Linked DNA regions of Drosophila melanogaster. The protein of the gene in region 1 interacts with the protein of each later gene in a pairwise test. Each region holds a gene or a part of one and is shown on either strand. Other genes may lie near its edges.

Region 1 (4,952 bases):
GTTATCAAACCACTTGTGACGGTCGCCAGACACAAAATCAAAAAATAAAATCCATTCGAAATCTACCCGAACAACACATCAAATTCTGAGAATCCCCAAAAAACACCACCAATCCCCAAACGCGAGACACGACAAATTTTCATCGCATTTATATCCGAAATTAAAAAATTATGCCTGGCGCCAGACCAAAGAACCCATCCCAAAAAAGATTTCGAATCTCATGAATGGCGTGTCAATTTGGTAATTGGAAACTAAAATCGAGGAGTTGCCAAAAAAGCTATAGAGACCCGCTTAGATTGTCCACAAATGGCACGTTCCATCTTGGAGTTTGTCGCAAAATAAAGACAGATAGCGATTTAGCGATTCGCCAATGATTTGCATAATTGCGTGATTCGCATACCGTAAAATTTACATGTGTGCCAGTATGTGAAACTCACTGTGAATCATCTTTATGAAGGCAAGATGGAATCCCAGACAACTCTTAGACCCGATGAGTCCACCGCTATTCCCAACTTATGGTAATTCAATGATACAATGAGTCAAGTGCTGGTCGCTTTCGCCTCCATTGTCAAGTGTTCGATTATTTCATTCGGAAAAAAAAAGAATGAACGCATTTCAAACGATTCATAATCCACAATCCGATTCCGGGACGTGGAACTGGACCAGCATGCAACAATTTGTGGTTCGTTTGCTGAGAGGCTGGTAAACCTGGAGATCCAAAGTACACAGCGAAGGGAACAACCTGTTTTCCCACCACCATAACAATAATAAATCTTTCTACGGGTCATGAAATAAAAAAAAAAATAATAAAAAGATATTTGAATTAAATAAGTTTAATATTAAAATAACAGAGATACATATGTATGTAGTAATTGTTATGTATCAATCCGTTCATTATAATGCAACTTAAGCCTTAACTTTTATCTCACAAATTCGCATTCATCGGCACTAATAATATTTTATTCCTGTTGTGTGAAGGAATTTCTGTACTGCGCGTTCGGGTTCAACATGCGTGATGTTGCAAGTCGGTTTGTTTTGGGAAATTAAATTTCCCAGAATGAAAATTCGTAATATTCTTTCATAATAAATCTTTGAGATATAAACAAACCCTACATAATTAAATTGCTTAATTTATATCCATATTAATATTGTAAGCAGTATTTTACTGTATAAATTCATTTAATTATACAATATAATTCACAAAAAAAATTCTTTAATAACCTAACCAAACCCAAATTTAGTTTTCTGTAAATATATTATATTTTTGTATCACTTCATATTGAGCTTTCTATTTAAAGGTATTGTTCTTAAAAATTCCTGGAAGCAAAAGATTACTTTTTATTAATTTGGGGTGATGACTAAAGGAAGAAATCAAAATACAGGGAAATTTTCTACGCAACTCGAACGGCACACAATGGGACAACTTCTACATAGCAATAAATAAAATAAGACAAGAGACAATGGCATTTATCTAAATAAAAAATGAGCTAACAAATTAATTTTTTATTTGTCAATTTTACTTTTACAGTTGTAACCTTTAAAGTTTTAAAATTTCAAAAATTCTAGTATGTGCAAATTACTTTTGGTAAGACTTAAGCTATACCTATTTGTTGAAAAGTTTTATTTCGGGACTTGCAGCAATTCTATAACAAAGTTTTAAAAATAAAATAATCCTCTTCAATCAATGGCTTAAATGTTGAAAAAAAAAACATTATTTTGCTGATACTGACACACCCACTGTGCGGCCCACTGTGCGCATTTCGAACATGTTCGAAGCGAACCCCGGATGCCGATGCATGGGATTCGGTGGCAAACCAGTTTTCGTTGCGCCAGTCATCGACGGGCAGCTCGCGTGGATAGTTCGCCTTCGCTTCGGTCGCTCGTTTGCTTTGCGCGACCAACTCACTTTGAAAATAAAATTTTGGCCAATAACAAAATTGGTTTTTTCAATTTGCTAAGCCACAGCCGCACCGAGAAACCGCAAAGAAATGCGACGCGACACGCTGCCAACAAATTAAATTTAACCTAAAGAAGTATGTGCAATAAACCAACAAACCAATTACCAACGAAACCAAATTCAAGAATTAATATGTCAGCGGAAATATCAAAACAAACGTGTTTGGCATCACATATGCGAAAGCAACGCGCCAAGAAAATATAAATAATAAGCCCCATCGACGTCAGCAAACAAACTCAACCGACCCGGCCAATAAACAGCTTCAAAAGTGCCCAAGAATCGTTGCGAATGCGAAAAGATACATTTGTATCTTTGGTCATGCACTTTGCAGTTACCCCTTCCATTTCCCTAAAAAAAAAATACGCAGTGTTTTGTTGTGCGAAAGTAAAAACTACCTGCAACAGACTTTAGAGACAGACCTGCCCAGACCGAAAAACCCGAAAAAGAAAACCAGTTTTGTGAAAATTATTGACTGCGCTCTTGTGTTGGTTTTAGTTTAGTTTTTATATCTCGTTATGCTTCTCTTTTTTTTACTATTTCTTGGCTGCACTCCTTTGTGGATTGCAGAAAGGAAAATGGCAATAATAACAAGCCGAAATTGGCGGCTGCCAGCGGATAGATAGAGGAGTCATAAATAAAGTGAGCGGATGGATAGCATTGATAAGAAATGCAATTGAGGGAGACATAAATTACCAAAGGTGTCAAGGGGTTCTAGCATAAAATTGAGGTGTAAACATTTCAGTATGGATTGAGTGGTTACGGTTTTTTGTTAAATGTGCTGTTAGATTACAAACAAATTTATAGCGATGATTTTTATTTTATTCTGATCCATTTAAAATGTAAATAGTATTAAATGTATAGGCACATTGAAGGCACTTAAAGATTCATAAAATCAGATTACTCAGATACGATTTCAGAACCAAACCAACCCAAGTGTGTAACAAGAGCCGACTTTGAGTAACAATTAGCAAAAGTACAGAACTAATGGAAGCCACTATTTAATTCTCCACCCACAGTCAACTCGAAAAGTGCAACATTCCCCATAAATAATAAGCAAGCGTTGCAGTTAACTTACCGCTAAAATCAACGATCCAACAATCAAGCAAAAAAAAAAACAAAAGAAAAACCATCAACGTAGGCTAAGAAACAGAACGGAAAATGCTCATGCACACAACATCAATTTCCACAACGTCGACGGCCACCATGACCAACTCATCGTCCTCCGCCACGCCCACACCCGGGTCGACTTCCTCCAACAACAGTGCCACGCTCGACGCGCTGCACCAGCAACAACAGCAGCAGCACCAGCAGCATCAGCTGCAGCAACAACTGCAGCAGTTGCACACGAACGCCGCAAACAATTCACGGCCCCCCTCACGTGCCCCCTCCATTCTGGACAGTCCGACCCTGGCGCGTGTGGAGCGGGCTCGTCTGCGACTGGAGCAGCAGGAGCGGGAGCGGGAACGGGAGCGTAGCAGCCAGCGGGAGGTGGGCGGCGGCAGCGGAGGAGGCGGCGGCGGTGGTAGCAGCACTGGCACTGGCAGCACCGCCACAACCATGAATCGTGAGGATAGCCTGGAGCGCAGTATTTTGGATCCCAAGGTGAGCTTGCAGCAAAGTCTGCACAAAAAACAAAATAAAAAACAGTCTTAACTGATCCCAAATCAAAAGAAGATCTCAAAAATTTTTTTTTTAAGTTTAAAGAAACAAAACAAAGCAATTATTTTTTTCGGTGTACTCTTCCACATACTCGTAGAATATAAATTACAATTAGGAGGGGGGATCTTGAAAAACCTACGTGATAATGAAGGCTCAAGTAACCGAATGTATTATCACAGCGAATCATCTGAAAACATCTCTGCAATCCGCTTAAAGCATATATTTTAATCTTTTAATTTATTTAAAATGTTCGTCAGATAATTCTCGCATACCTTGAGAGCCTGATAAATGTCTTCAATCGGACCAAAGAATTTGTTTATATATGAGACAACTTTTCGAAGTTTACGCCATAGAAAATACAATCTTATAAATGGCTGAGAAGATTATTTTTTCCAGCTAGAGAAATTCTTTGAATTTCACGATTCTGATTCTTACGTCATCCCATATGAAATATTCTTAAGAAGATTCTTAGTGATATGTGTTATGTAAAATTACTAAAACACTATTGGACTTATCTTTGTTAAATACCAAGACTTCACATTTTTGCAGTGAACATAAAATACATATTTTAAAAACTCTTAACTAAATAATTAGCCCAATTTCCGTAATGTGTTGCCACATCCAAGTACTTCCCATAGATGCCCGATTCCTTCAATCTCATAAAGCTCTTATTAGATTTGGTCCATAACCGAAACAAATGCCTTCATGATGCTGCAAATTAGTGGCTACCTTCTACTAAAACCAAATGAAGCACGTTGAGAGAGGAAAAGGCAAATAGAACAGACATTAGGATGAGGCAGTGAAAGAAGAGGGCCTAAACCGAATAAGCCATACACACATTTTTTTTTTTGCTTGCCCAGCCACAGTTCTTGACAGGGCCATTTCACTAATGGCCCAAGTCCTCCTTGCGGCCTAAAGTAGCCCCCTTTAAGCTATAGGTTACTGGCTGCCTAGCCAACTGAGGAGATGGCTACTTCTCGCTGTCCGAACACGACCTTCTGGCTATATGTAAATGCTTTTTATTTTGTTATTATTTTGTTAACGCTCTTATCGCTGCCAGTTTTTTATCTCGACTGCGCTGGGGTCTCATCATCTGGCAAAAGCCTCTTTAGGCTCTGGGCATTTTTATTTCTTTAAAGCTTACTGAGGACTACTACTGAGTTCCCTGGTACCTTTGCATACATGGAAATGGTCAGAGTTGGGTTGGCTGTGTGTCCAGGTAGCTTAGAACCCAGTTCTCAGGTAGCTGGCCTCACCTCATGGTTGAAGACATAAACTCAGATAATGAATTGCGAAATGTGGATATCTACCGGGTAGGCAATAACGATGTTATGCT
Region 2 (3,296 bases), 2.4 Mb from region 1:
GATTATTATGAGTTTTTAAAAATTTCGAGCACATATTTTTATTGCGTGTCAATGGCAAAAAGCGCGTCACAAACGCACGGGGCACAGACTCAGTGGGCCGCAAAGACCTGTGCAGTGCGGCACAGCTACAGCTACAGATACAGATACATATATACTTTATCTCTCGGTTAGCCATAATATTTCTAGCGCCGACAGCCGACGGCACGACCTTGTCCCACGGCTCAACGCGTAGAAAGCGAAAGATGCGGATGGCAGGAATGATATAAACCACACCAGAGCACTGAGATGCATTATTAAGTGCATATTTTAATAAGAAATTATTTTCAAATTGGTAAAGTAATCAAAGTGAAGTGTAATTAGGTTTAAGTGTATTAAAGCTTAATGTCATTTTAATACTATTAACCAATCGTCCTTATTCTTAATTTGATTAGCTTGATAAGCCTAATTAGCCCACTTAGTGCAAATAACTACAAAAACGCACCTAAAACGATACATTTTTCAAATTTGGCCCTCTTAGTTGACTGCATTATTTTGTTTCCCTTTTTTCAATTATCGCGAAAGGTTCATTGCACCTTCGCCTCTTAATTGAACACAATCAAAAATATTTTGCAACCTCTCGCCCAGAATTAATTGCACATTAACAATTTGGTGTTGAGAAAACACATCTTGAGGGCGCACAAGAAGCACTTGTCTGATCCAAAATAGCCTAAACACATTACACCGAACAAGATATCGCGCATACGCCGCGTGTGCCGCTGTGGCAATTAAAAATTCCGAAATCGTAAACAACGCTCAGTCGTGATGTGCGAAATGTGGATATTTTGTTGAACATTTATTTGTAATATTTTCTTTCACAAAAAAATGTAATGTTTCGAGACAAAATTGCAGTATTGCAGAAGCCAGATTGGAAAGTTTTTAGAACGATCATTGTGGCTATAACATTTCACTTGAAGATATTTTTAAACATTTACCTTTCGCCTTACCATTTACATTTGACAGCCGTCAATATTTCCGACACATTTTTCCAATTAGAGCGCATTTCATACGCGTACACTTTTCGCACTCTGCACTCGCATGTTCCTATTGTTTATTTGAGTGATATTGAAAAATCGTTTGGAAACATTGCTCAAACATTGCTCATGAGTTCGAATTTCCTTCATATCGCAACAGATATATTAAATGTTTCACTGCCGGCAATTGGCTTCGCACTTCATTTATGATGCCCAACGAAATAAGAATACGGAAAAATTACGCATTTAACATGAAATCTATGCCAACGGATTTTCCTGTGTGTACGCTATATAAGTTGGTTGGCTCTCGGAAAAATCAGCAGCACTGCAGTATTTGGCTAATTTGATTTCCGTTCCAATGCATTCGAATGCCGAAAGTGCTCGAAAATCGAATCAATCAAAAGCTCCTTTTTGCCGCCCGACTGATTTCAATCGTATAAATATTATATTTAGTATATTTATATTTAACTATCACATGCTATTCATCGATTGCGAAGCTGATTTCTTTTTTACGTACATGTTTTTGGCAGACAAATCTTTTTTAAATTGGCCTAAGTGAAATATAAATCTTCATCTTTTCAACTGATCTTAATTAAAAGTGATTTTTCGTCAATACTCAGAGGATTCCCATTCGACCGATGCCAAACAAATTGGTTTAACCTTAGAGATCTAATAGGCCACTGACGAAAGAGATGAGCACCCAAATGGATGGGTAGTATTAGCCGAGACTAAATCATCTAGTCTGCCTTGAAGGCCGATCCATTATACGATTTTCTCAGACAGTCAGGCAGTTAGCACACACACACACACACACACCCAACACACGTAGTCTATAAACAAAATGGAACACAGAGTTGAATTGATGTTGGAACCCATAGTGGCGGGCAAGTTGGAGCGCAGATCGGATAACAGATCAAACAAGGTGGAGGATGAGGAGCCGCATCTAACCAAGCAGCTCAAGAAGCACTACGGGATTGAGGCAGAAGTTCTGGGTCTCCTTGTCAAGTTAGAGATGCGTTATAAGGAATACTACAATCTATACAAGTGCGAAATGAAGGCCCAAAAGATACTGGTTGAACGGATATGGCTGCTAACCCAGCGATATCTGATTCTAATCAGTTCAGAGCAGAGCTGTCGCTATCCCGAAGTGTACACCTTGTCCACCGAGGAGGCCATTATCAATGAATATGAGGAAAAATTGGAAGTGCTGCGAGCTTCAAAGTGAGTTGCATACAACTTGGCTTACGAAATTATTTACATTGCGCTTCTCTTTTAGCAACAAAATGAAAAACACCCTGTTGGAAATCAATCAGCAGTGCAAGGAGTTCTATGCCGCCTACGAAAGGCTGGACAAGGCCCAGGAAACGCCCTTCATCATGGGCGATAGCCATCATAGAAGCATCAAGTACCACAAGATCATGGCCGTCGACATATTCAACTATTTGTATGCAACAGTGCTGAAGCTCAAGTGCTTCATGCATCAGCTGGATCCCGTGAATCTGGAGAGTGTCGAGGAATACCGCGATCTGCTCCAAAACGAATCCGCCATGGAGGAGTTTGAGGAGTATCTTAACAATCAATTTGTCTACTGCAAGTGTATCTACCCGATTCCAACCTGCCCCATCTTGAAGCTGAAGTGTTCCCACCAAAACATAGCAAATTTAAAGTATGTCAGTCGCATCTAGTCAAGCCAAAATGTGCAATAAATAGAAGCCCTATTCAATGAAATTCGATTTATTGGCTAGTGATAGCTGTCCATCAACTAAACAACTAATCAATAATAATGAGTGTCCCATTAACATTTGTGGGGCTCTGCTCCCAATGAACAGAAGCCCTTCTGGTGATGCTAGATCGGGTCCCCCATCGGATCTTTAGTGGGTCAGCAGCTTGAGAAATCCGCCTGAGGATGCAGCACCTCGCTCGTGTGCAAGATGAAGTTATTTATCCGCTTAGCAACTCATCCAAAGAGTCCTTTTATAATACCGTTATCCACTCTAAATGCAACCCTGTCTACTAATGTAAAATAGAGAACCTGATCGAAACAGAGATAGATTTGAGCTAATCTGAAAATGAAAAGTTAAATTGACATGAGGGCCCAGAGACATTGCGAAAGTGACCTTTATTCAATTGCCACACTGTCATGGGCATAATGTGTTGCAGGGCCACGAAGGCAGGGTCACTTCTGTTATCAATGGTTTTATTCACCCCTGAACTTTCAGCAGCGCCAGCAAGAATACTTGTTCGAGGATGTTTCACGAGCTGAGCTGAAGCGTGTTAAATGCGATT
Region 3 (3,893 bases), on another chromosome or scaffold:
TTCCGTTCAAAACTGTCGACTCGTCGGTGTGGGCCAAGTTACTGCGCCCCTATCACCACAGTCGCCAATAACAATAGCAGTAGCAGTAACTGTTGCAGTAACAGTAACAGTACCCAGCTGTCGCAGCATTGCGCTCTCCGCTCTGTACCGCAACACTCACATCCAATCCGAACCGAACCGCTCCGCTCATTACTCTCCCGATCTTGGGGCCTGGAGCGGAGCGGATGGGTTTCACTGTTAACAGTTAACGCTGGGAGAGCGCGATCTCGACTTACGCACACCCTCGCTCAGGAGGCTCGCTGAGATTTTAAATTTAAATATATATAGAGCAACATGAACAATACATATGTTACATTCTATTATCTGTCTATTGGTGGAAATGGAGTATATTATCTGATTAATCAGTGTTGTGGTGATGATAAATATTACTCATAAAGCTGCACTATTTCATCGTTATTTTCAAAGTATTCATTTTAGTGTGACATTTTACATTATGTTAACACTACGCAGCAATAATCTGTAAACTTTCTTTAGGCAATCTTTCATTCTTTCAAACTTTCCTTAGAAAATATTTCAATTGTGCCCGTTTCTATTAACCTGACTTCATGTATTGATATTTTTTTATTCATATAAGTACATTGTCTTTCAGCCATCTGCTTGCTATATTAAAGTAACTATTCGCTTATGTCTATAGTTCCTAAGATGTAAATGTAAATCGTCTCATAAGCATTAATTTTACAGCAAAAAATAAAATACGATTTTAAATTCAAGTTCGTTTGGAAAAACATTTCCGATGACTAGGATATAAATTCAAAATATTAACGCTATTAAAACGTTACATTTATCCATTGCTTAAGTATATATTAATCGTAGTTCTGGACGTGAGATGTCGCTCAGGTATCTACGATTCCGGCTAGGTTGACTGCCCTACGGATGTTCCTCACACACATGCCGTTCGAGATCGATGGCCCGGAAGAAGGGCCGCACGCAGAATTCACAGGTGTAAGTGCCGTGTCCATGGCCGCGATCCGTCTTTATGTGATCGGTGAGGTGGCACCGCTGGGTGAATCTCTTTCCGCACGTGGGACACAGATGCGGTCGGTGGTCCAGGTGCAGACTGTTAACGTGCTTCTTTAGGTGATCAGCAGTGGCGAAGTCCGCCTGGCAAATACCGCACACATGACCGCGCAAGAGGATGTGAACACGTTGCAGATGGGACCGCAGGGCTTCTCGGCTGCCATGGCTCTTGCCACAGTAGCAGCAGTCCAGGGCACTGCGTTCGTGAACCTGCTCCAGGTGCCGCACCAGGCTCAGACTGCCGGGGAATCCGTTGGCGCAGAAGGGACACACGAAAACGCTCGGCTTAGCGTTCACAATGCACGACTCCTTGTCCAGGTCGGTGGGCCAGCCAAAGGTGAGATCGTCGTCCCAGTCGATGCTGGGCAGTATGTTCTCAATGTTCTCCTCTAGCATCTCAAGATCCTCCATTTCATCAACCTGGCTGTCTGCAGGGATCGGATTGAATAGTATTATTAAGCAGGGTATGCCATTAACATCACAACTACTCGTAAGCAGAATACCTACCTGCATCACTGGCCGTGGACTTCAGGGTACGCAGGCGATGCACCTCCTCGGCGTGCTCCTGCAGCTCCAGCATCCCGCTAAAGGTCTTAACGTCGTTGCAGTTGTCCGTGCACATGTCGCAGTAGAACAGCGACTGCTGGCCGTGCCAACTGGCAACATGACGGTAAAGAAACGTGGCTGACGCGTACTTCTTGCCGCACTGCAGGCACAGGAACTGGCCATCGTTGTGCTTTCGCTCCCGATGCCGCTCCAGCCGGGCCTCCTCGCCGAAAAGCGTCAGGCAGTGGGGGCAGACGAAAAGACGCCTCACCCTGACGGAGCACTGCTGCTCGTGCCGCTTGGCGGCCAGATGACGAGAGAACTCCGCAAAACAAACGCCGCAGTGGTACGTACGCTTCTTGGCCGGCTTCTTCGCCGCCAGCGGCAGGGCTCCGCGGTTGCTCGCTCCCGGCGCTTTTGGCCGGATGGGCACCGGTTCCATAATTTTAGCTTGTCCAATTAAAATTGTTGTTACAAGCAAAACTGCTCGCTGACTATCGATATCGGAAGGCGCGATTTGTTATCGATTGACCGCAAGTGCCGGGAAGCCAAAAGTGTGACTGCAGCGCGAAAGCTGAACAGAATATATCAATAAGCGGTCACATTTACTTACCGAAGTGTTCAAAAACAAAAATCAAACATTTTCAAATTAAATTCTTCATATTCCCATTGAAAAGAGCCCGCTCGTACATTTTCGTCACTTGAATATTTATTGTACTTCATTTAAATCATTTTGTATTTGAATTTTTTTTACATACTTTTATGGTTTTTAATTTCATCAGCATAATTCAATAATATATAGTTTTTGTATAGTATAATAATTTTATAACACGTTTTTCTGCACTGTGCAAATAATTTTCCCATCAACTTCTATTCAATTAGCGAATTTCCTTTTAGTTATTTGCGTGATGGAGTGTTGATATTCAAATTTCCTTGAATTCTTTAGTACAGTCTACATTAAATTGTTTTACATTTGATTTCATTTACCGACTAACATTTTGTTGTATATTCTTTTTTGGGTTTTTTTTCTCAAAATAATTCATGTTTTTAACACTTTTATAATAGTATAAGCTGTATACACTTATAATAAATGACTTGAATACATAATAACAAACGCCTCGGTTACAATCTTCAATCTTCACAACTGTATTCATGACCCAGAATTTACATGGCGTTACTAAAAGCTCTGGAATCTTATGTATTAAGCATATTGTTTTGCGCATTCCTGTCCTCTAATCAGTGATGTGAGCACTAATTATCCAGAAATTAAAGTAAATATTTGCAGGGCAATGCCACCCACCTGACGCGTGAAGTAGTACACACTTATGTAATCCATTAAACATACATAGTTATCGAATTCTTTGTTCTTATTATCAAAATGGCGCTGTGGCGGCTCAATCAATCCATCGGACCTCTAATGGTTCCTTAGTTCTATGCTCATCCGATACTCAAAAGTTCAAATAACACAATGGTACAACTTAAACACACAAGCAACATTTTTGGTTTCGAAATTCCAACACTACAATCGAAAAATCGCAGCCAGTTCTAAAAAAGACCTTTTTTCGATCATCACAAAAATGTAACAGAACTTCTTCATATTAAAAATGCACTTTAAAGTTAAACACTTGAATCGAGAACGTATGATCTTGTATTTGCATTTTCTATCAACTGGGACGATTTTTGCAGAATGCTATGGGTGGGGGTAATCACTTAAATGCACATCAAACGTTCAATAAAAGCGAAATGGGATCAAATCAGGTAACAATTGAATACGATCTAATAACACGATTATCCATTAGCTAAAGTTATTCTTTGTTGCATGCAATGATTTAGTAACTTATTCACACTTTTATTCGAACATTTTGAGTACCGGGGTGGAGTAAAGTCGACAGCCGCGCTCTTGTGTTATATTTTTGTGTTTATGTAAGATTTCTGTTTCGGCAAGGAACCCATAAATATGCATGGGAACACTTAGTGTAAGCGATTAAAAGATATTCTCCATTGACTACTAAAAACATTCGGAACTTGTTCTTGCGATTTGCGTTTAAAGTAATTCATATCTTGCCTGCATTTGAATCTTTTGTTGTAAACTCTTAGTAAACTATTCATTTTTGGCATATTTGACTTACAACAACGGTAATACAAAAAAGTAAATGTACATAAAAAACAACAACAATACAATTTTCCTCCGCATTTACTACAACTTCCTTGGTGTTGTTCTAAAAGCTGCTATTATATATTTCGACAACAATTTCGGAACTGCTGCTGCT

What was found.
Region 2: the proteins of CG32982 (region 1) and CG31910 interact in a two-hybrid assay, tested with the Drosophila melanogaster proteins (one large-scale study listed by BioGRID).
Region 3: the proteins of CG32982 (region 1) and CG7101 interact in a two-hybrid assay, tested with the Drosophila melanogaster proteins (one large-scale study listed by BioGRID).

Annotation. Positions count from the first base shown.
Region 1 is NT_033779.5:9,123,908-9,128,859, forward strand, and holds the start of CG32982 (uncharacterized protein), read left to right. Parts: upstream 1-1,829; 5' UTR 1,830-2,033; intron 2,034-2,853; exon of another isoform or gene 2,854-2,862; 5' UTR 2,863-3,115; coding exon 3,116-3,559; intron 3,560-4,952.
Region 2 is NT_033779.5:6,744,098-6,747,393, reverse strand, and holds CG31910 (uncharacterized protein), read left to right. Parts: upstream 1-1,771; 5' UTR 1,772-1,851; coding exon 1,852-2,231; intron 2,232-2,286; coding exon 2,287-2,695; 3' UTR 2,696-2,731; downstream 2,732-3,296.
Region 3 is NC_004354.4:18,828,835-18,832,727, reverse strand, and holds CG7101 (uncharacterized protein), read right to left. Parts: upstream 2,138-3,893; 5' UTR 2,066-2,137; coding exon 1,585-2,065; intron 1,506-1,584; coding exon 928-1,505; 3' UTR 605-927; downstream 1-604.